2 linked regions of the Pelodiscus sinensis genome follow. The protein of the gene in region 1 interacts with the protein of each later gene in a pairwise test. Links are inferred from orthologs where the notes say so. Each region holds a gene or a part of one and is shown in the gene's direction. Other genes may lie near its edges. The genes, in order: MORN4 and RANBP3.

What was found.
Region 2: the proteins of MORN4 (region 1) and RANBP3 interact in a two-hybrid assay, tested with the Homo sapiens proteins (2 studies listed by BioGRID). The two-hybrid records come from large-scale screens. The link is inferred for Pelodiscus sinensis from reciprocal best matches to the Homo sapiens genes MORN4 and RANBP3.

Annotation. Positions count from the first base shown.
Region 1 is NW_027465990.1:7,463-18,966, forward strand, and holds the start of MORN4 (MORN repeat-containing protein 4), read left to right. Parts: upstream 1-6,341; 5' UTR 6,342-6,472; intron 6,473-11,238; 5' UTR 11,239-11,269; coding exon 11,270-11,336; intron 11,337-11,504. Other genes in the region: PI4K2A (phosphatidylinositol 4-kinase type 2-alpha), read right to left, coding at 1-83, 839-1,039, 4,876-5,217. UniProt on the Homo sapiens protein: Plays a role in promoting axonal degeneration following neuronal injury by toxic insult or trauma.
Region 2 is NC_134729.1:21,070,197-21,081,875, reverse strand, and holds the start of RANBP3 (ran-binding protein 3), read left to right. Parts: upstream 1-6,933; 5' UTR 6,934-7,234; coding exon 7,235-7,256; intron 7,257-11,679. UniProt on the Homo sapiens protein: Acts as a cofactor for XPO1/CRM1-mediated nuclear export, perhaps as export complex scaffolding protein. Bound to XPO1/CRM1, stabilizes the XPO1/CRM1-cargo interaction. In the absence of Ran-bound GTP prevents binding of XPO1/CRM1 to the nuclear pore complex.

The DNA of each region.
Region 1 (11,504 bases):
TTCTCCAGGGCCAGCCTCTTCCCTCGGGACTTCACCCGGTCAATGGCGCTGTAGTTGAAGGTCTCGCTGGCCAGGTACACCACCTGGGGGAGCGCACAGGCTGAGAGCAGCTGGCCCCGGCAGGGTGAGACCTGGGGCCCTAGGGGAGCACGTGCCTCCAAATTCCACAGGAGGAAGGGGCCAGAGCCTCAGGGACTAGTGGGGGTGTGGCGGGGGGCTGTCTGCTCTGTAACCCGGTGTCCCCACCCGGCTGCGCTGTCTGATCCCCACCGACTCACCCACGTGGATGGGCCCAGACACCCAGTCCCAGCCTGGGCGGGTAACAAGGCTCTTCCCGGGGGGAGACGGAGACGGACACCTGGCTGGGGGCAGGGCTGGGAGCTGGGCAGTCGAAGTCCAGTACAGGGGGCTCAGGGGCCTGTGACCCCCCAGGGAACCAGGGCTGTCGGCCGGGCCTAGGCCCATGTCGGGCCTGCGCTGCGCTGCCTCGGAGAAGCAATAAACCCAAGTTTACTCTACGGGCTGGCGGAGTCACATCCGGCTGCGGCCGGGGGTGCAGGGTGGAGGCTCCCCGACGCGCCGTCACAGGGGGCAACTGCAGCAGGTCGGGGACCCCCAGCTCAGCCCCCCCCCCCCCACTTCCTGCCATGGAGCACGGAGAGCACAACCCCGTGACAGCCAAGAGCCGGGAGATCGGAGACCTGGGGCCGCGTCCCCAGACACGGGGGTCCCTGGCTCGCCTCGGTGGGGGAAGGGCAGAGTTGTCCTGGCCCCGCCCCCTGGAGAGGGGGCGGTCACATGGCATGGGGGCGGGGCAGAGCAGCCGCCAGCCACTCACCTTGGTGCGGGGGACAATGTTGAGCTCCAGCTTCTGGTCCACCAGGCTGGCGCCGGCCTCGGAGAGGTAGCCCTGGTTGAGCACCAGGCAGTCCCTGCCGAAGCAGCACGGGCAGCAAAGCTTCTGCAGCCACTTGGTCCACTTGGGGTTCAGCTGCCCGTAGGGCTCCTCGTTCTTGGGCTTGAACACGCCGATGATCCTCTGCGGACGGGGGCAGTTGGCGGGGGCTGGGCCAGGCAGCCCCTCCTAGCCCCCGCCAGCCCGCCCAGAGCCGCCGCCAGCCCGCCCAGCCCCTCCTAGCCCCCGCCAGCCCCTCCTAGCACCCGCCAGCCCGCCCAGCGCCGCCGCCAGCCCGCCCAGCCCCTCCTAGCACCCGCCAGCCCGCCCAGCACCGCCGCCAGCCCGCCCAGCCCCTCCTAGCACCCGCCAGCCCGCCCAGCCCCTCCTAACACCCGCCAGCCCGCCCAGCGCCGCCGCCAGCCCGCCCAGCCCCTCCTAGCCCCCGCCAGCCCGCCCAGCGCCGCCGCCAGCCCGCCCAGCCCCTCCTAGCACCCGCCAGCCCGCCCAGCCCCTCCTAGCACCCGCCAGCCCGCCCAGCGCCGCCGCCAGCCCGCCCAGCCCCTCCTAGCCCCCGCCAGCCCGCCCAGCGCCGCCGCCAGCCCGCCCAGCCCCTCCTAGCCCCCGCCAGCCAGCCCAACGCCGCCGCCAGCCCGCCCAGCCCCTCCTAGCCCCCGCCAGCCAGCCCAACGCCGCCACCAGCCCGCCCAGCCCCTCCTAGCCCCCACCAGCCAGCCCAACGCCGCCGCCAGCCCGCCCAGGCCCTCCTAGCCCCCGCCAGCCAGCCCAACGCCGCCGCCAGCCCGCCCAGCCCCTCCTAGCCCCCGCCAGCCAGCCCAACGCCGCCACCAGCCCGCCCAGCCCCTCCTAGCCCCCACCAGCCAGCCCAACGCCGCCGCCAGCCCGCCCAGCTCCTCCTAGCCCCCACCAGCCCGCCCAGAGCCGCCGCCAGCCCGCCCAGCTCCTCCTAGCCCCCGCCAGCCCGCCCAGCTCCTCCTAGCCCCCGCCAGCCCGCCCAGCGCCGCCGCCAGCCCGCCCAGCTCCTCCTAGCCCCCGCCAGCCCGCCCAGCGCCGCCGCCAGCCCGCCCAGCCCCTCCTAGCCCCCGCCAGCCCGCCCAGTGCCGCCGCCAGCCCGCCCAGCCCCTCCTAGCCCCCGCCAGCCTGCCCAGCCCCTCCTAGCCCCCGCCAGCCCGCCCAGCGCCGCCGCCAGCCCGCCCAGCCCCTCCTAGCCCCCGCCAGCCCGCCCAGAGCCGCCGCCAGCCCGCCCAGCCCCTCCTAGCCCCCGCCAGCCCGCCCAGAGCCATCGCCAGCCCGCCCAGCCCCTCCTAGCCCCCGCCAGCCCGCCCAGAGCTGTCGCCAGCCCGCCCAGCCCCTCCTAGCACCCGCCAGCCCGCCCAGAGCCGTCGCCAGCCCAGCCCCTCCTAGCCCCCGCCAGCCCGCCCAGAGCCATCGCCAGCCCAGCCCCTCCTAGCCCCCGCCAGCCCCTCCCTCCCGCCCGCCATCTCCTGGCCTGGTACACGCAGACCCAGACTCGGGTACCAGGGAGTTTGAGCCTCCCCCAGCTGATCCACAGCTCAGCCAGCCCCGCCGCGCCTGGGCAGCAGCTCTGGGAGGGGAGGGCTGCCCAGCGGCAGGATGAGCCAGAGCCCACCAGCACCCAGTAGAGGAGCCCACATGCGTGGAACCCAGCGTTCACCCAGGAGACTCAGGCGCCGACCAGCTGCTGAGCAGAGCGCCCCCAGCCGGCAGCCTGTGTTACTGCTGGTGGTGCACGGCCACACGCGCCTCGGTGCACAGAACAAAATGTATCCCGCTCAGATGCAAAACATTGGAGGGAACAATCCCAGCCCCCTGCTCTGAGGGCAGTCGAATGCCCCACTTCTCCTGCCGGCTGCTGCCCACAACGGCAGCCCCCCTGGGGCCCCAGCAGCCCAGGGAGGTCCCACCTGTCCCAGGGACCTTGTTCGCCAAGTGCGTGGGGAGCCAGGAAAGCAGCAAGGAGGACAGATTCCCCCAGCGGGCAAAGGGGGCTAAAGAACCAGGACCCACCGGCCCCACACCGCACACGTCTCACAGCTACTCGGCCCGGGGGCAGTGGCCTCTGCCGTCTCCTGCACCACATCCCAGCCCACCGCCCCCAGAGGCGGAGGCTAAGGGAGCTCCCTGGGCGGAGGTGGGCAGGCTACCATGCCAAGAGAAACCCCATCCCTGGCCCCTACCCCTTCCACCCACAGCTCCCTTCTGCCGAGAACCAGGTTGGCCGGACGTCGCCTGCTGGTTCTGCTGCCTCCCCTCCGCCAGGGGCAGGGCCACCCACGCACCAGGACCCTGCTGGTGCCAGACCCAGTAGCCAGAATCCCAGCTGGCCCGTGCTGGGGTGGACCCAGCACTACCAGAGCCAGCCCCTGAGCAGCAGCGAGGCTAATCGGGTTAGCAGGGAGTCACAAGGCAGGCACACGGCCCGCGCCCAGCGCCGTGGAGAATGCAGCTCCACAAGGACCCGCCTGGCTCTGCTCACCCCGTGGCCCGGCGCAGGCAGGGGGCGGGGTGTCCAGCAGGGCCGGGGGAGGGGGGCAGCAGCTGGACTAGGGATGTAAGCGAACCATCAGCCAGCGGGTAACCCGAGGGACGACGCAGCGACTCGCATTGCACCCCCCTTGCTGAACCGGATCAGAGGCAGCGGGGGGGGGGCAGGCTTAAAACCTGGTTCCTCCCAGCACCATCTCCATGGGGCCACCTGCTCCCCCCCCACGCTGCTGCCTCTATCAACCCCTGTCTGCGGGGAGGGGGTCACAGCTCCCCACCGGGACCCCCACGGACAGGGGCTGCTGGAGCTGGCGTGAGCCAGGACCACCCCCCGCTGTGCCTCTGCAGCAGCTGGAACCCGGCCCGAGCGCCCTCCCTTCCCACTACTCGTGTAGCTGATAACGGTTCTATGAAGAAGCGATTAGGGAGATACCCGCTCCCATCCCTAGCTGGGACGCAGGCCCAGGCCAACGGGCGCGTGGGGACCAGGCAAGGACCATGCGCTTGCAGAGCCTGGGAGCCAGGCAGAGCTGAGCCGAGTCACTGCCCCCCCGACTCTAGCAAACCCCACACTCCCAGCACAGACCCCAGCTGTGTGCAGCGCCAGACGCCCATCCACTGGCACCTCCGCTAGGCCTGTCCGCGGGCGACAGCACCGCCCAGTCACACCTGGGTAGGCTGCACCCGCCGCTCGGGCTCTAGGGGTGTAAAATCCTGTTCAATCCATCGGCTAACCCTTCCGGTGAGCCCGGGCACTGCATGGATGGGGCAGCGCACCGGGCTGCTCCGTCCCAACCAGGGTAATGGCAACACCCTCCAGCCACTGCCTGCTACAGGGCTGAACTGTGGCCAGTCCAGCAGGTCTTGGCAGGCCAGCTGCTGGCCTCGGGGGCTCCCCAGAGCAGTCCAGGCACCGACCTGCAGCCGGCACCTTACGCAAGGACGCCCATCTCCTGCACTCACAGCCTTCCCAGGGAGACGGGACCTGCCGCCCTGTGCACAGCCAACACCCCGGACGCCCATAGCTCTGACACATGCCAGCGGGAGGCTCACCCCAGCCAGAGCCCCTCTCCCCGGGCACCCCACCCGCAGCCCTGGCCTGCACCAGGCCCAGAGCCGGGGAAGCAGCTTACCAGCACACTCAGGGTGCCACTCGCTCCCAGACGGGGCCGGGGGTCAGCCAGGCACGGCCCCCGGGCAGCCCCGGGCCCGCAGCCCCCCCCCCCCCGGGCAGCCCCGGGCCCGCAGCCCCCCCCCCCCCCCGGGCAGCCCCGGGCCCGCAGCCCCCCCCCTCCCGGGCCCGCAGCCCCCCCCCCCCCCGGGCAGCCCCGGGCCCGCAGCCCCCCCCCTCCCGGGCCCGCAGCCCCCCCCCCCGGGCAGCCCCGGGCCCGCAGCCCCCCCCCCCCGGGCAGCCCCGGGCCCGCAGCTCCCCCCCCCCCCGGGGCGCCGCTCACCCCCTGCGGGTCCTTGACGAAGTAGCTGCCGCTGGAGCCCTGGGAGATGCGCTCGGGGAAGATGCCGCGCTCGCTCGCCGCCTCCGCCAGCCGCACCACCTCGGCGAACTCGGGGTCCTCGGGGAAGTCGTTGCGCTCGCGCTGGGCCTGCGCCGCCGCCTGCGCCGCCCCCGCGCCCCGGCCCGCGCCCCGCTCCAGCAGCGGCTGCCGCTCGCGGTCCCGGGCGCGCGGGGAGCCGGGCGGGGAGGGGGCGGCGCGCACCGCAGCGCCCGGGCCCGCGGGCAGCCCGTAGGCGGCGGCCGGGGCCCGCTGCGGGGACACCAGCGGGCTGCTCTCGTCCATGGCCGCCCGGCTCTGCGGCCCGTCAGCTGACCGCCCGGCCCCGCCCCGCCACCGGGCCGGCACTCGGCGCACTGGCTCCGCCCCCGCCTTCCGCCCCGCCCCCGAGAGCGCTGGCCCCGCCCCCTTCCGCCCCGAGCGCTCTGGCCACGCCCCCGCCTTCCGCCCCGAGCGCGCTGGCCCCGCCCCCGCCTTCCGCCCCGAGCGCTGGCCCCGCCCCCGCCTTCCGCCCCGAGCGCTGGCCCCGCCCCTTCCGCCCCGAGCGCTCTGGCCCCGCCCCCGCCTTCCGCCCCGACCGCGCTGGCCCCGCCCCCGCCTTCCGCTCCGCCCCCGAGCGCGCTGGCCCCGCCCCCCTTCCGCCCCGAGCGCTGGCCCCGCCCCCGCCTTCCGCCTCGAGCGCGCTGGCCCCGCCCCCGCCTTCCGCCCCGAGCGCTGGCCCCGCCCCCGCCTTCCGCCCCGAGCGCTCTGGCCACGCCCCCACCCGCCCCCTACCCGGCCCCGCCCAATGAGTGACCTGGCCACGCCCCTCCCCGACAAGAGCTCTGGTCTCACCCTTCCTTTAGCTCCTCCCGCTCATCGCTCTAGCCACGCCCCTCCAAGAATTACTCACAGTGCTAACCACACCCACTGCTGAGTGCTCTAGCCACGCCCCCAGAACCAGTCAGAGCACTAAGGGGGGGAGCTTGCCACAGATCTTCCTGTAACTCCTCCCCCTGCCCGCTTTGGCCACGCCCCCACACCAGTCGCGAGGCCCACTATGCCGGCGCGTCAGAGCTCTGGCTGGGGGCGGGCTGTGAGCAGGCGCCTGGGCGGGGCTGAGGGCAGTCCGGGGTGGGCCAATAGGTGGCAGCAGCGGGGACACGTCACAGGCGCGAGACGGAGGGGAGGATGGGGCGGTGCGCAAAGAGCTACGACAGCAGTGCGGCCGCTGCCCCGCACAAACATGGCCGCCCCGGAATAACGCGGAGCGCCCCGCAAAAACATGGCGGTCGGGGGCGGTCTCTGCCGCGCCCAGCGATGACGCTTCCTGGGTAGAAGCTTTGTCCCGCATAAAGAGAGCAGCCGGTGACAGGCCCTGCGACACTGGCCAATGGGAAGCCGTGTTGCTACGGGTTGTCATGGTAACAGCCAATGACACGTGGGGATGCAGTCTGGTGTCGCTGCCCAGCTGGGCGGGGCGGGGAAGGGGCAGCCGGGCCCTCAGCGCGCCGGCGGCTGTCCATGGAGACGGGGCCCCCGCGGGGGAGCGCGAGTCCCGGTGAGGGGCCCGGTGTATGGGGCGGGGGGCTCGGGGGTGGGGGGCCCAGGGAGGTGGAGGGGGGTGGGGTACAGGAGTGGGGGGCCCAGGGGCGTGGAGGGGGGTGGGGTACAGGTGTGGGGGGCCCAGGGGGTGGAGGGGGGTGGGGTACAGGAGTGGGGGGCCCAGGGGGTGGAGGGGGGTGGGGTACAGGTGTGGGGGGCCCAGGGGGTGGAGGGGGGTGGGGTACAGGAGTGGGGGGGTCAGGGAGGTGGAGGAGGGGTGGGGTATAGGAGTGGGGGTGGAGGAGGGGTGGGGTACAGGAGTGGGGGGGTCAGGGGAGGAAAGGTGGGGTACAGGAGTGGGAGGTCAGGGGGGTGGAGGAGGGGTGGGGTACAGGAGTGGGGGTGGAGGAGGGGTGGGGTACAGGAGTGGGGGGGTCAGGGGGGTGGAGGAGGGGTGGGGTACAGGAGTGGGGGGGTCAGGGGGTGGGGTACAGGAGTGGGGGTCAGGGGGGTGGAGGAGGGGTGTGGTACTGGAGTGGGGGGTCAGGGGAGGAAAGGTGGGGTACAGGAGTGGGGAGTCGGGGGGTGGAGGAGGGTTGGGGTACAGGAGTGGGGGGGTCAGGGAGGTGGAGGAGGGGTGGGGTATAGGAGTGGGGGTGGAGGAGGGGTGGGGTACAGGAGTGGGGGGGTCAGCGGAGGAAAGGTGGGGTACAGGAGTGGGAGGTCGGGGGGTGGAGGAGGGGTGGGGTACAGGAGTGGGGGTGGAGGAGGGGTGGGGTACAGGAGTGGGGGGGTCAGGGGGGTGGAGGAGGGGTGGGGTACAGGAGTGGGGGGGTCAGGGGGTGGGGTACAGGAGTGGGGGTCAGGGGGGTGGAGGAGGGGTGTGGTACTGGAGTGGGGGGTCAGGGGAGGAAAGGTGGGGTACAGGAGTGGGGAGTCGGGGGGTGGAGGAGGGTTGGGGTACTGGAGTGTGAGGTGCAGGGGGTAATTTATGTGGGGTTCACCTGAGTGACCCTTTCCCAGATGCTCATGGGGTGCATTAATTTGCTCCTCTCTGGACTGTCCCGGCAGGGGCATCTTGGGGTTGGTTCCCATGGCGGTGGCTGCTGCTACCTAGCTCCACTCAGTGCTGGAGTCACTGGCTGCTGTGGGGCAGGTTCTGAGGGGGAGCAGGGGCTGCTTGGTCTGCATTGCTGGCCGAGTTCTTGTGCCACTGTCCCTCTTGTGTACCACAGCAGGGAGTGTCTCTGAGGTCAGTTGTAGCAGGTGGAGGGAGTGGGTTGCCCTGGAAGGACTGGTGCGCCCATTAGACCAGGGCTGGAGAACTTTTTTGGGGTTGGGGGCCACTGACCCACAGAAAAATCAGGGGCTGCACACAGGTGAGAAACAAAAACAAAACCCACAAGACTTCACTGACATGGCCTCTGCCTGAGGAGAAAGACCAGACACTCCCCACGTGCCCCTCATACACCAGAGCCTAGGGGGGTGGAGGCTAGTAGATTTAATGTGCTCCAGCGCCGTGGGGGGGGGGGAATGGAGGAAGAGCTGGAGAGCCACCGTGGGCTCCCCAATAGTTGGATGGGGAGCCCTGAGCCTCAGGGGCCACATCTGGCCCCTGGGCCTTAGATTTCCCACCCCGGCATTAGACAGTGGCTGCCACACACACAATGAAAGCTACATGCCACAGAGCAGCTTTTTGACCTGCCATCACACCCCGCGAGCAAGAGCCATGCCCGGCCTGTAAAGGCCCCAGGGAAAGCTGGGGCTGCAGCGCAGCACTTGATGGAATTGCTGCTAGAGAGGCAGGCCCCTCCCTGTGGGAAGCAGGACAATCCGGGCAGCTCAGGTTCTCTCCTCCATGACTTCCTCTCCCCCAGCTTTGGACCACGATGCTGCTGGGTCCGTCCTGCCATGAAGGCAGGGGACTGGACTTGGATTCTCTGAACTTGTGTGATACCTACCACTTGGGTTCTCCGCATGTCCCCACGTTGAACCCATCCTAGGGACTCTCAGGGCCTAGGCTCTCAAGCACGACAGGGGGGCTCTGCCTGCTCCCCCTGCCCAGTCCACGAGCCCCCTCCTCCCAACCGAGCCTCCAGTATCCCTCTCCCGCAGCTTCTCCCCTGGCCTTTGTCTGCTGGCCAGATAACCAGGGTCACCTGGACCCCTCTTCTCCCCTCTCCTGTTTCCCCTGGCTGGGACCAGCGGGGCAGGTCACAGGCTCCTCTCTCTGCAGCCACCCCCTCTGCAGGCAAACCCTTGGAAAACCCAGACAGTCCCCCACTTGGACGCTGGCACATTCCCTCTTCAGGAAGCCAAGTGGCCTTTTGACGTGCGCCATCAGGCCTGCAGGGGCAGCATGTTCGGGGCAGCATGGCTCGTGGGAGCCGCATGCCAGGCTGGCGCTGTGCTGCGCTGCAGCCCCAGCTTTCCCTGGGGCCTTTACAGGCCGAGCATGGCTCTTGCTCGCGGGCTCCAGGGCTGTGTTGGACTAGAGGGCTAGTGGCACTTCCTGTGTCCTGGAATTGTGGTTCGGTGAGACAGGCACGGGGGAGCCACTGCCGAGCTGGGTTGTCTAGGGGACAGTGTCAGGACCCACCCGATGCCTGCCCTTGCCCCTGCAGAGCACTTTGAGCTAGAGCTGGGAGGCGGCTTTGACCCTCAGCCTGGAGGGAGCAGAGCCCAGAGCTCTGGCTAAGCAGCGATCCTGGCCCTCCAAGTGTGGCCCTCTTGGGCTTGATGTGTGTCTATCTGTGGGCTGATGAGACCAAGGGCACAGGCATCAGTGACTCGACCAGCTGCAGGTGCCAGCGCCTGTGGGCCACCCAGCCTGGCCACTGCTACCTGAGGGGCTCCGGTGTGGGCCTCAAGCATTTCCCAGAGTCTGCTCTGATCCCAGAATGGCTCCGCCCAGGATGGGAGCCATAGTCTGTGCCCTCCTGCCCAAGGCCTGAGCAAGCCCTCCCCTCCTCCTGCAGGCAGTCTGGGCGGGAGCCCCAGCAGCAGCCTAAGATACCCCCTTGCTGAGAGAGGCTCAGGGACAGCCAGGGGGTGACTGGGCCCTGAGCCTGCCAGGAGCTAGTGAATCCAGGGAGTGCTCTCCCTCAGCCTGCCGCTGCCTCCAGCCATCTCCCACAACCAGGTCCAGAGGGTTAAGTGACCTGCCATAGCCCTGGCGTGGCCACGGTTAGCCCTGTCCCATGACGCACAGAGTCAAAGTGGCAAATGCAATCTGTGATGCAAGGGCTGAGCCCCCGCAGCCTCCCCCCCAGTGCCAGGCCCTGGCTGCTAACCCCGTGCTGCCCAGCTCCTAGTCAAGTGCACCTTTCCTGGCAGGTGTCTGCCCAGCTGTTAGTCTCCTCTCCAGCATCCGCCCCCCCCCCCCCCGGCCTTTGAGATACCCCCGGGTTAGCTGCCGACCTCTGAGCCGGTGAGATTCTCCCCAGGGGCGGGAGGAGTCTGGGGTAAGGCTGGAGAACTGATCCGCTGGTAGCTTGGCACGAGCCGGCTCCCAGGGGTGGGTTCTGTGGTCTGGAGCTTAACAGACAGCGGGCAGTCCTGTGGCATCTCAGGCTAGTGCAGGTAGCTCCGGCGCTATGGAAGGGGCTGCGAGTTCCCTCCCGTGCAGCTCAGGACTGTCTGGGGAAGGAGCCAAGCAGCAGTCTCCTGTTACTGGCTTTTAACAAGATTCAGCAGAAATAAGGTTGCCAGGTGTCCAGTTTTGAACCGGACAGTCCAGTATTTGAGCACAGGGCTCTCCCCCCCCCCACCCCGGTTCTCTGTCTGCTCAGGGCCTGGACAGGCTCAGGGCTCCCCCCACCCCCTCCCGGGTTTATTGTCTGCTCAGGGCCCAGATAGTCACAGGGATCAACCGTGCAACCTCCCCACCCCCCCCCCCCCCCCACACACACACACACAGCACCTCCAGCGGGTCACTCAGAAATCTGCACTTCTACCTCAGAGCGCCCCCTGCTGGGTGCTATCCCAGCCTCTGGCAGGTCATATTTCCCTTCAACCCCGTGTCCCTTCCCTTTCCCCCATACTGTCCTAGGTCAGTGCCCCTGCCCTCTGGGGTCCTCCCCTCCCAGGGAACCCCCAGTCTCCTGTACCCCCCTTGCCTTTGTGACCCACGGCCAAGCATCAGCTAGCCCCTGTCTCAGGGCAACCCATGGCCACTCAGCATTGGCTAGGGGGTGGGCCTGCTACCGTGCCCCTGCTCAGGCAGCCTCCAGCTCCTCTGGCAGCCAGGTCCCTCCTGCTCCCCAGCCAGACCAAGAGTCTCTGTTCCTCTGCCAGGAGCCCGTATTTATACAGGCCCAGCTGGGCCCTGATTGGCTGTCTCTGCTCTGAGCTTTAACCCTTAAAAGGCCAGTGCAGGGCAGATGCCCCATCAGCCCCCCTGCCGGGTTCCCTGTCTGCTCCGAGCCCAGGCAGTCCCAGGGCTCGTCCCCTCTGGCCTGGCTGCAGTATGGATGGGGTGGTGCAGTGTCACCCACCGGCAGGGGCTGTGCCGTGGGGCAGCCCTGCTGGCGGGGCCCTAGTGCCAGGCTCAGAGAGGCGCTGGGGTCAGCTCCAAAGGGATGGGGAAGTGGCGGCGGGTGCTAGGCCTTGGCATGGCGGGGGGAGCCGGAGATGGGGCGCTTTGGGACAGTGACACACAGAATGCAGCCTGGCTGGGGGCAGGCGCTGGAGCAGGGGGCTGGCCAGAGCTCGGCAGCCTCAGCCAGCCACGTGCGTTCTCAGCCCCAGCCTGCTGGGGGTCTCACCTGCCCTCCCTTGCAGGTGCTGTCTCACCCTCCCTGGAGCTGGCACCATGACCTTGACCAAGGGCTCCTTCAGCTACTCCAGCGGGGAGGAGTACTGCGGGGAGTGGAAGGAAGGTGAGCCGGTGCACAGGCAGGGACAGGCCCACAGGTGTAAGGTGCCCGGGGCTGGACTGTCCCACCCTACACTCGCAGGCCCCTGGTGCCAAGCCCTTAAAGAACCAGTAAGCCAGGCTCTCCCCAGAGAGCACCTCCCCTGTCCCCTCATCTGCTCCCTGACGCCTT
Region 2 (11,679 bases), on another chromosome or scaffold:
CCAAGGCTACAGGGACCCAGAAACAGAGAGCAAGGAAGCTGTCTCCTCTGTGTCCTGAGTGTTCCTGCTGCTGGCACCTAGGCAATAAGGAGGAAGAAGAATAAAGCAGCCTAATTAGAATGTGGGGGGAAAGGAGCAAGATTTGGTGGGTGATTGGAACAAAGGGGCAGGGGTGAGGGAGAGTTGGACAATAAGCAAACGGGACAGCAGAGGAGACAGGCAGGGTTGGCCTTACCATGAGGTGAACTGAGGCGGACGCCTCAGGTGCCAAACTGGGGGGGACGAGACATCACTAGGACTGTCGCCAGAGGCATGTAGATTAGGCTACCCGACATAGTAAAATGAAGCGGCGATTTAAATAATCGCCGCTTCATTTAAATTTACATGGCTGCAGCGCTGAGCCGACAAACAGCTGATCAGCTGTTTGTCGGCTCAGCGCGATAGTCTGGATGCGCGGGTGTCGACATCAAAGGTATTTGTCAACCACCCAGGTAAACCTCATCCTTTGATGTCGACACCTGCGCGTCCAGACTATCGCGCTGAGCCGACAAACAGCTAATCAGCTGTTTGTCGGCTCAGCGCGGCAGCCATGTAAATTTAAATGAGGTGGCGATTATTTAAATCGCCGCTTCATTTTACTATGTCGGGTAGCCTAATCTACATGCCTCTGGCGACAGAGGCATGTAGTCTAGACGTACCCAGAATGTAGAAAATTGTGTCTGCTGCTGGTGCATATCTATTCTCTCTGCTCTAGTGCACAGCGATGGTGGAGTGCTGTGCTGGAGGAAGGAGGGCACAAGAGACATAACAGGCAGGCAGGAGAAAAGGTGGCATGAGGGCATCATTTGAGCTCCCTGCCTCAGGTGCCAAAATGGCTGGAAACAGGACCTAAGAAGAACAATTGGCAGTGGCCTGAAATTAACAGGGGACAAGAGTAGGCTAGATGGACCAAAGTTGGAAAGTGTCTGTTTGGAGGGGCTGGGTCAAAGGGTTTGTAACTATTAGAAAACACTCCCCTAAGAACCTGGAATATACACTGGGATTTCTAACTATCACCATTTCTTCACATTCAGCAAATATCTATGGGCATGTCTACACTAGGAAACTATTTAGAAATAATAAAAATTGATTTAATAACTCCTGAAATAACAGCATTGAATAGCGTGTCCCCATTATGGGGAAGCCTTGAAATTAGTCCGAGGCAGGCTCCATTAATGTGGACGTGCTATCTCAACTTAGAGCCCCAGGAAGCACTGGGGAGCAATTACTTCAACTTACTCTGGGGAATAGTTATTTCAAAATAGCAGCAGCAGGGCATCCACAATAACACTATTTCAAAATAACTATTTTGAAATTAGCATTATTCCCTGAAGAAAGCAGGAGTACAGATTTTGAAATAACCAGCCCATTATATCAAAATAATTATATTCTTTCAACATAAGCAGGGTTATTTTGAAATAACTCTCTAGTGTAGACCAGGGCTATGAAACTCACAGACAAAGTGTGTGCCTCATCTCTCTTTCTGTTCCATGTAGAGGATGACAAACTACTACTGCTATCAGTTACTCAAATGGCAGAGGAGTGCTGTGAATCTAAAAGTTCCAGCCCTGTTGATGTCAGTATGTTTTCAAATGATAGAATTTATGTGATTTCAGTTTGCTTTTTCAAAAACCAAAAAAATTACATTGCGTCACAAACTGCATTAAAAGAATGTTGAGGTTGCACCCGTCTTCTTCACCCCACAAATCTGATTCATTCTCTAAGTGCCATCCACCCTGAAAAAGGCAGGGGTCCTGTCAAAAATAGCAAGCATGTGATTGTATAACTATAGATTTCATCATGGTACATCATGGTTCATCCTGGTGCAAGGAGAACAAATTAAAATTTCATGGGCAGTCATAATTCTGGCATTTTCTAACTTTAAAGTGTTTGACTTTGTAACCAAAATAACTTTCTCTGAATGTAGGATTTTAATGTGATTTCCTATGTAGTTTAAAGGAGAAAAATCCTATTTTGTATATTAACCACTATACCCTGTACCATCAGCAGGATTTAAAATCTGAATGTTCAGCACAGGCAAATACCACTTGAGCTACAGGTAGGCAAATACCACTTGAGCTGCCAGATACTTTCACAAAAAAGTGGCCTTCTGTCTGAGAAAAACAGGCTGCAAATACTGCACTGTCCAGGCCAATACTGGACACCTGGCAACCCTAGCTACAGTGCCAACTACTTCAGCTGCTGTCAGATAAATGCTGTTTCCTAAAGGGGTGAGGTTGGGTGAGATGGACCATTTGTTCAGCATGGACTACTCTGGATCCATGTGCCAGGCCTGAAGCAAAGAAGCCTGGCATAAGGGATGTCAGGTCCCTTGAAACCCTCTGCTGGTGGCCTTGCAGACCTACCACATGCCATACCAGAAAAGGAGCAGTAAAGGCGAGTCTTCCAGGTCTGCTGAGAAAGGCTGCAGGGAACCAGCTAATCAAAGTGCAGCAGACTCAGTTAAAAAGTGATCAGATGATTGAGCTAGTCACTTTCTGTCTCGGACCAGAAGTATAAGGAAGGGTGCTCCTTGCTGATGCTCAGGGGAGAGCCAGGAGACGGGCTCTAGTGACACTGGCATTTCATGAGGAAGAAGAAAAGTTGAGAACGTCAGCCCTGAAGTGAGGGTGAAGAGGAAGAGGCTACATGGGATGTGGCCCAGGGAATAGCAACAAGAAGCAACTATTAAAGGAAGCAAGATGTGATTTCTACTTGTAGAGTCCCTGGGTTGGGAGTAGTGGGTGTGTCTGGATTCCCTCACAGGCGTGGTGAAGTGGCCTATGTCCTGAGGAGAAGATAAAGCTTGATTAGAGGCTCAAGTGAAAGTATTTAAGGGACACCAGAGAACAGCTAAAGGCTAAGATCTCCAGGGAGGAAGTCCTGAGTGTGCTGGTTTATAATGTGGTAGGGATAGATTTAAAGCCAGTCCAGAAGGGGCTAAGAACCTAACCCAGGGTAGAATAACAGTTCCAACAAGGGCATTATGATAGGCGTTGTTGAACCTTTGCTACTCTGGAAGGGAGTCATCCATTTTAGACTATGTGTGTCAGCCAAAGGAAAGAGCCCCTGAAGATTCACCTGATGAGGGCAACAACTGATAGAGCAGGGCTACTCAACTTTGGAAGCTCCAAGGGTCACAATGATACTCACAGAACATGCCGAAGGCCGCAACTTAAGTGTGGTTGCATATTTCGCATTGACAGGCATGAATACAAAGGTCAAGGCAAGATTGCACAAAACACAGGCCCCATTTAAGTCAGTTCTGCTGATATTAATAAAATGCAATATTTACCCGATTTCCATCCATATGACAGCTAGGGTTGCCAGATGGTTTAACCAAAAATACAGACCCCCGCTCTCCCCCAAAAAAACACCGGGAAAAAAATTCTGTTGAGAAAATAAAAGGACAGCAGTTATTAAAAAATAAAAATCAGCATGGCCCATTTAAGAAGAGGCTTTTTTGCCGGTGGCCATTTTGTTTTTCTGCCAGGCACAAGACAAGCCCCTGCAGAACCAGGTAAGTGGGGGAGCCTGGCAGAAGGGAGGCGGGGGGCTGGGCCCAATTGCTGAGTGAGTTGCCAGGTGTCCGGTATTTTCGCCTCCTGGCAGGGAAATGTTTTTTTAGGTGTTTGGTATTTTCTGAATTTTTTTACCGGACAGGAGGTGAAAATACCAGACTGTCTGGATCAATACCGGACACCTGGCAACTCTAATGACAGTATTTTAAATTCCTGGACTGTCATTGCTCATTAAACTACTAAAACACATATCAACAGAAGACCATTATATTGCCTACTTTCTTGTTTTGGCTCCCACCCGCGGGCCACATGTTAAATCCCCGCTTCATTAGCAATTGCAATACGTCTAATTTACATCCCTTTTCCGAAAAAGGGATGTAGTCTAGACGTAGCCACAGGCTGTGGGCCACATGAAGAGCCCTATAATAGAGGATACTTTGAGCACAGAAATAGTGAGGGTTCACATCCATCCAACAGGGGGTGCTCACAAGAGGTTAGTGTGCCCCATCAGAAAGCCCATTCTCCTTCTGTTCATCCTACCACTGCTCTGGGAGTACCCATGTATTCCCACTGTAGTGGCTCCTGTTGCTATTAGTCTAATAGTGGTGTGAGTCTGGCCTAGAATGTGTGCTTAGCTGCTATTTTGACAGGCTGACAAATTTCCCTGAGGAACAGGAGGGAAAGAAAATGGTGATTTCATTGTGTATCTCAGCAATACCTGATATTTGTTCTCCCTGCCAAATACCTGCTGCAAACAATGGAAGTGAAGAACAGATCACAAAAATTCTTCATAATGGAAAGTGTCAGCTTCCCCAACCCCTATAATACAGTAAACTTCCAATAATCTGGCACCTTTAGGACCCAAGGGGTGCCGGATTATCAAATATGCTGGACTATCAGAAGGGGGGGGGGGCATAAGGGGTCTGGGGCGGAGTGTGGGGGATGTGCCCCTCGGCGCTGCAGGACCAACCCAGCAGCACCCCAGCTGCTCTGCCCCAGGTGTCCCCAAGTCAGCCGCTGCTGAAACTGACCAGTGACTGACTCGAGGAAGCCCGGGGCAGAGCAGCTGGGGTACTGCCGGGTTGGTCCCGCAGCGCCGAGGGGTGGTGCTAGGGGACCAACCCGGCAGCACCCCAGCTGCTCTGCCCCCGGCGTCCCCAAGTCAGATGCTGCTGAAACTGACCAGCAGCTGACTCCGGGAAGCCTGGGGTAGAGCTGCTCTGCCTCCGGCTTCCTGGAGTCAGCCGCTGGTCAATTTCAGCAGCGGCTGAATCAGGGAAGCCGGGGGCAGAGCAGCTCCAATTGTCCGGCTGCCCTGAGCACTTCTGGGTTCCAGATGGTGCCAGACCATCAGGAGTGTGGGACCATTGGATGCTGGACCACTGGAGTTTTACTGTAGTTAAATTTTGTGTGAATTTAGAACCAAATAATCTTCCCAGCTCCTAACCTGATACCTCTGTTGTGGGATAGGGATGATCAGAGGACAAATGGGAGAGAAAGCCTCCTTTTCAGGCCACTGGTCTGACCAGTAGCTTTGTAGTTACTCATTCAAAGAGTTGGAACAGTCTCTATGGCTGTTGCTCACCCCTTTTATGGAGAAGACAAACTTCTGTCTAGTTCAAACCTTCCACTAGCTGTAACAGAAGCACTGTTTCAACAAGGACATCAAAGTTTGTACCAAGGATATTTAATTCCTTGAAACGTGACCTCCTGAAATCTCATCCCCGTACTGCTGAGTTCAGTGAACCTTGGGGGGGATAGATATTTGGCTATGTGTGTGTGTGTTCCCTCTGTGTGCCATCTCAGCTCTGTACAGACAATTGGAACATAGGCCAGGATTATTGTTAATGAAGCACAATAATAGCATTTGGCAGACTCTACGGCTGTGTCTACACTGGCATCCCTTTCCAGAAAAGGGATGCTAATGAGACACTTCGGAATTGCAAATCCGCGGGGTTTTTGCCGGAGAAAAGCGCCAGTGTAGACGCGATTTTCCGGAAAATAAGCCCTTTTCCGGGATATCCCTTATTCCTACTTTCAAGGAATTCAAGGACTGAGGCGGCGGAAAGGGGGCTGTGGAGGAGGGTGGCGGTGATGGACTGAGGCGGCGGGAAGGGGGCTGTGGAGGAGGGTGGCGGTGATGGACTGAGGCGGCGGGAAGGGGGCTGTGGAGGAGGGTGTCGGTGATGGACTGAGGCGGCGGGAAGGGGGCTGTGGAGGAGGGTGGCGGTGAAGGACTGAGGCGGCGGGAAGGGGGCTGTGGAGGAGGGTGGCGGTGAAGGGCTGAGGCGGCGGGAAGGGGGCTGTGGAGGAGGGTGGGGGTGAAGGACTGAGGGGGCGGGAAGGGGGCTGTGGAGGAGGGTGGGGGTGAAGGACTGAGGGGGCGGGAAGGGGGCTGTGGAGGAGGGTGGCGGTGAAGGGCTGAGGCGGCGGGAAGGGGGCTGTGGAGGAGGGTGGGGGTGAAGGACTGAGGGGGCGGGAAGGGGGCTGTGGAGGAGGGTGGGGGTGAAGGACTGAGGGGGCGGGAAGGGGGCTGTGGAGGAGGGTGGCGGTGAAGGGCTGAGGCGGCGGGAAGGGGGCTGTGGAGGAGGGTGGGGGTGAAGGACTGAGGGGGCGGGAAGGGGGCTGTGAAGGAGGGTGGGGGTGAAGGACTGAGGGGGCGGGAAGGGGGCTGTGGAGGAGGGTGTCGGTGATGGACTGAGGCGACGGGAAGGGGGCTGTGGAGCAGGGTGTCGGTGATGGACTGAGGCGGCGGGAAGGGGGCAGTTGAGGGGGGTGGCGGTGAAGGACTGAGGGGGCTGGAAGGGGGTAGTTGAGGAGGGTGGCGGTGATGGACTGAGGGGGTGGGAAGGGGGCTGTGGAGGAGGGTGGCGGTGATGGACTGAGGGGGTGGGAAGGGGGCTGTGGAGGAGGGTGGCGGTGAAGGACTGAGGGGGCTGGAAGGGGGCAGTTGAGGGGGGTGGCGGTGATGGACTGAGGCGGCGGGAAGGGGGCAGTTGAGGGGGGTGGCGGTGATGGACTGAGGTGGCGGGAAGGGGGCAGTTGAGGGGGGTGGCGGTGAAGGGCTGAGGCGGCGGGAAGGGGGCAGTTGAGGGGGGTGGCGGTGAAGGGCTGAGGCGGCGGGAAGGGGGCTGTGGAGGAGGGTGGCGGTGAAGGACTGAGGGGGGTGGGGGGTGGGAACGAGGCAGTAAGGGCTGACAGGTCTGGAGCCGGGTGCTCACACCCCTGAGCCACCGCCCCCAACCTCCCGACGCGGGGGGAAGGGACAATGCTTTGTTGTCACAGGTGGGTTTTATGAAATGTGGCGCGTGCAGTTGTGCGCATGCCCCGTGAGGCTCCTGCAGCGCTGACTCCGCTCCCCTCACCCAAGAGGCTCTGCTAGTCCTGCAACGGGCGGAGCGGGTGGGTTTGGCGCAGGCGCACTGTTTGTCTAACCGCGAGCGGCGGAACGAAGCCTTTGCTTTTAGCGCATGCGTACTAAACCCTGTGAGGCGGAAGGGAGTTAAAAAAAAAAAAAGAAACGTTCTTCGGAGCATGCGCAGTCTCTCCCGCTTGACGGCGGGAGAGCCCCTCCCTTGCGGGACACTGCGCGCATGCGCCGCCGCGCTGTGTCTGTTGTAAATCGGAGGCCGGCCGGCCGCGCGATGCACTGTGGGAGTGATTGAGGAAGTAAAATGGCGGATTTAGCGAACGAAGGTAGGGGGGGATGTGGCCGTTATCGCGGTTGTGCGGAGGCGGGGTTTGGGCCGCGGGCCGAAGCAGGCCTGGCATTCGCCTCAGGAAGAGCTCCACGGGCCCCGTAGGGGAGTTGCTCCTCCCTGCCGCCTGCCTCAGTGCCGGCCACCGCAGGGGAACGGACTGGACAAAGGGAGAGGCTGGGCCTAAGTGGGGCCGTCTTGTTTCCCCGCCCCCCAGTCCGGGGGGAGCCGACCGACACCCGCCCTGCAGCGAGCACCTTGGGGGGCATCGGCGTGAGCATGGGGGTGACGGAAGTGGGGCTGGGCGTGGGCCCGGGCCTGTCGGTGCAGGCTGTGCGGGCCAGGCGCTAAGAGAGAGGCGTGTGTTATTTATTACTGCCCAGCGTCAGGAGCAAAGCTACTCCTTTCCTGCTGCAGCCTTCAGCGTGGGACAGAACCGCATCCCTTTGTAAAAACAGGGAGGAGTCCTGTGACACCTTAAAGACTAACAGATTTATTTGGGTATAAGCACTTGTGGTCAAGGGCCCCCTTCCTCAAGCTGCATGTCTTTGCCCAGAAAAGCTTATGCCTGAGCAAACCGGTTCATCTTTAAATTATCACAGGGCTCCTTGTTTTTTGTGGATACAGACTAACACAGCTACTCCTCTGATTCCTGTCAAATCCTTTTCTAGTGAGCCTATCTAGCTTGGCAGGTACATACCCTGTGTGTGTTCCGAATGTGAACAGAGCATCCCTCTATGTTCCCATTAGTCACCTTATTTTGTTCATGGTGAAAAACTGTGAGGCAATGGTGGCAAAGGAAGAGACCTGTGGGAGCTGCCTCTTGTTTAATTATCACTTGAACCCCAAAATGTGAAAAGCAAGCTCAGTATTTCTCTTTCCTGTTTGGGGCTAGGTGCCTCCTTATATGTCACCCCTTTTTATGCAGTGTTCAGGTAGCATGTCCCTTCTTGGCATGCCTATTTAAGGGAGCTGTAAAATTCCCATTGTTAATGCTGTGTATTTATGTCTAGCAGTTGGCTAAGAATATGCCTTGCAAGATTAGAGAAAATTTAGGTATCTTTTGTATAGCCATAATTTTGTGAGGGCAGGGAAATTGGTTTTATTAATTCTTCCTTGGGAGCTTTAAGAGAGAATGGCATACCATGTAGAGGTCCTAGGCTTTATCTACACTGGCACTTACCCAAATGACACAAGTTTTCCAATAAATGTGGAAAACCTTGCCCCCTAACACCCAAACAAAAATGTGGAAAACCTTGCCTTCCACCACCCAAACAAAAAACAATTAATTGATGAAAAGTGTCTGCTTGCATAGTGCTTTGTTCAGTGGGACCTTTGCTTGTTGGAGGTGGTTTTACTTTGTCACTGGAAAACATCTCTCCCAGCAGTAAAGAGTGGCCACTCAGTGCACCTTATAACTATGCAGATTCAGCACTGCTATAAGGTGTGTTGTGTAGACATAGTTTTAATGTGTATCTCCCAAGTGGAAGATAGACAGAAAACTTTCATAACATGAAAGAGTTGGGGCTCTTGTACATTTGAAAAGCAGAATCGCAGCAGAAGCAGCGCTAGTAGAGAATGCTTCAGTCCCTGCTTGCACCATTGCCAGTGTGCTTTTATCTCCCCTGTCCCCCTCAGAGATGGTGCTGGGGGAAACTGGCTTTCACGCTGGCTTCCCCCCAACATCATCTCCTGCTTCCCCCCCTTGCTGCCTGCCTCTGATAGAGGCTGCAACAAAGTCATTCTCTTATCCTGTCACATTCTCCTTGCATCCTTTCATTGGCTTCCTCTTCTCTGTTGCCTCAAACAAAATTTACTTATGTTTACCTTCAAGGCCCTTCATGGTGTGTTCCCACCACACCAGTCATCTCACATTGACTGACATGTAGATTTACACTTTTGATTAGCCATGATGCCAGCCTCCATCACACACTCATTAAAAGATTAAAATAAGACCTTTGTGCCTTCTTCCATACTTTTCCTCATGCTCAGAGGAACTCCTTGTAAATATGCGCTAAGTTATCCCATTAATCTCATTCAGAATTCTCTTTGAGATTCTCCTTTCAGTGTACAAAACTTTTGACATCTTTTAGGCCGCTGAGAGGCCTGAGGCAACTGCCTATCGTGTCCAATTTTGCCTTGCAGTTTCCTTGCACCCCTCTGTCTATATCTATTTTGGCTTATCTTATACTTAGGTTGTAAGTTCTTTAGGGGTAGGGTCTGTTGTTTTGTTTTGTATTTATTCAGTGCCTAATATAATGGGGTTTTCTTCCATGACTATTGCTTCTAGGTACTACCATAATGTCTCTTTTTTGAGATAACTGGATTAGTCCTCATCAACACTTATTTTCATGAATTCTCCTCTAACAAACTTTCCAGATTGATTTGTATGAAGATGCTTGTGATAGGAAGCAGTATAGCTTTCCATGGTACTTTATAACTACGTCCCTTTATTTTAAATTTAAATTGAGTTTTACTAAACTCTCCTGCATTTTATAAAAACTATTAATTTTTTCCAATTTTCACCCTGCTTTTGTATTCTTGGAAATAAATTGCATGAATATATCTATTATGATAATATGCAGGGCTTGACAAATCTGTGTATCTACTCGCCCATGGCGAGTAGATTACAGTGGTCGCCCCGTTCACTGGTGGTGCGCGCATGTGCAGTGCAGGTCTGGCGCATGTGCGGGGCTGGTGAGTGGATTTTGCTGTGGTTTGTCGAGCCCTGATAATACGTTAGTTATAACTACTCGAGAGAGATCTTGGAGTCATTGTGCATAGTTCTCTGAAAACTTCCACTCAATGTGCAGTGGCAGTCAAAAAAGCAAACACAATGTTAAGAATAATTAAAAAAGGAATAAAGAATGAGCCAGATAATATCTTATTGCCTCTGTATAAAACCATGGTACGCCCACATCTTGAATACTGTGTACAGATGTGGTTGCCTCATCTCAAAAAGGATATATTGGCATTGGAAAATGTTCAGAAAAAGGCAACAGAAATGATTAGGGGTTTGGAACGGGTCACATGAAGAGAGAGAGGATGGCAAATAGGATGTTAGGAATTATTAAGGAAGGGATAGAAAATAAGACACAGAATATCTTACTGCCCCTGTATAAAACTATGGTACGCCCACATCTTGAATACTGTGTACAGATGTAGTCATCTCATCTCAAAAAAGATATTTTGGCCTTAGAAAGGGTTCAAAAAATGGCAACTAAAATGATTAGGGGTTGGAACGGGTCCCATATGAAGAAAGGTTAAAGAGACTGGGACTTTTCAGTTTAGAAAAGAGGCGACTAAGGGGGGATATGATAGAGGTATATCAAATCATGAGTGGTGTGGAGAGGGTGAATAAAGAAAAGTTATAAGTTCCCATAATAGAAGAACTAGAGGACACCAAATGAAATTAATGGGTAGCAGGTTTAAAACTAATAAAAGAAAGTTCTTCTTCACACAGCGTGTAGTCAATCTGTGGAACTCCTTGCCAGAGGAGGCTATGAAGGCTAGGACTATAATAGAGTTTAAAGAGAAGCTAGATAATTTCATGGAGGTTAGATCCATAAAAGGCTATTAGCCAGGGGATAGAAATGGTGTTCCTGGCCTCTGTTTGTCAGAGGCTGGAGAAGGATGGCAGGAGACAAATCGCTTGATCATTGTCTTTGGTCCGCCCCCTCTGGGGCACCTGGTGCTGGCCACTGTCAGCAGACAGGCTACTGGGCTAGATGGACCTTTGGTCTGACCCAGTACGGCCATTCTTATGAGATTAAAGAGACTGGGACTTCTCAGCTTAGAAAAGAGGAGACTAAGCGGGTGGGGGAGATATGATAGAGGTCTATAAAATCATGACTGTTGTGCACAAAAGTGAATAAGGAAAAATTATTTGTTCCCATAATAGAAGAACTAGAGGTTACCAAATGAAATTAATAGGTAGCAGGTTTAAAACAAACAAAAGAAAGTTTTTCTTCATGCAGCATGTGATGAACCTGTGGAACTCCTTGCCAGAGGATGTTGTGAAGACCAGGAATTTAACAGGGTTCTAAAAAGACCTAGATGAATTAATGGAAGTTAGGTCTTTAAATGGCTATTGGCTAGGATGGGTAGCAATGGTGTCCCTAGCCTCTGTTTGTCAAAGACTGGAAATGGATGACAGGAGAGGGACCACATGATGATTCTCTGTTCACTCCCTCTGGGGCATCTGGCATTGGCCACTGATGGCAGACAGGGTACGGGGCTAGATGGATCTTTGGTCTGACCTTGTATGGCCATTCTTATGTATGTCTGTATGTAAATGCAAAGCTATTTGAAGTAACAGTATGTATTAACCTAGAACAGGAGTAGACAAAATATGGCCTCTGGGTCAGATCTGGCCTGCCAAACCACCAGATACAGCCTGTGGCCCAGCAGGAGTACCAAGC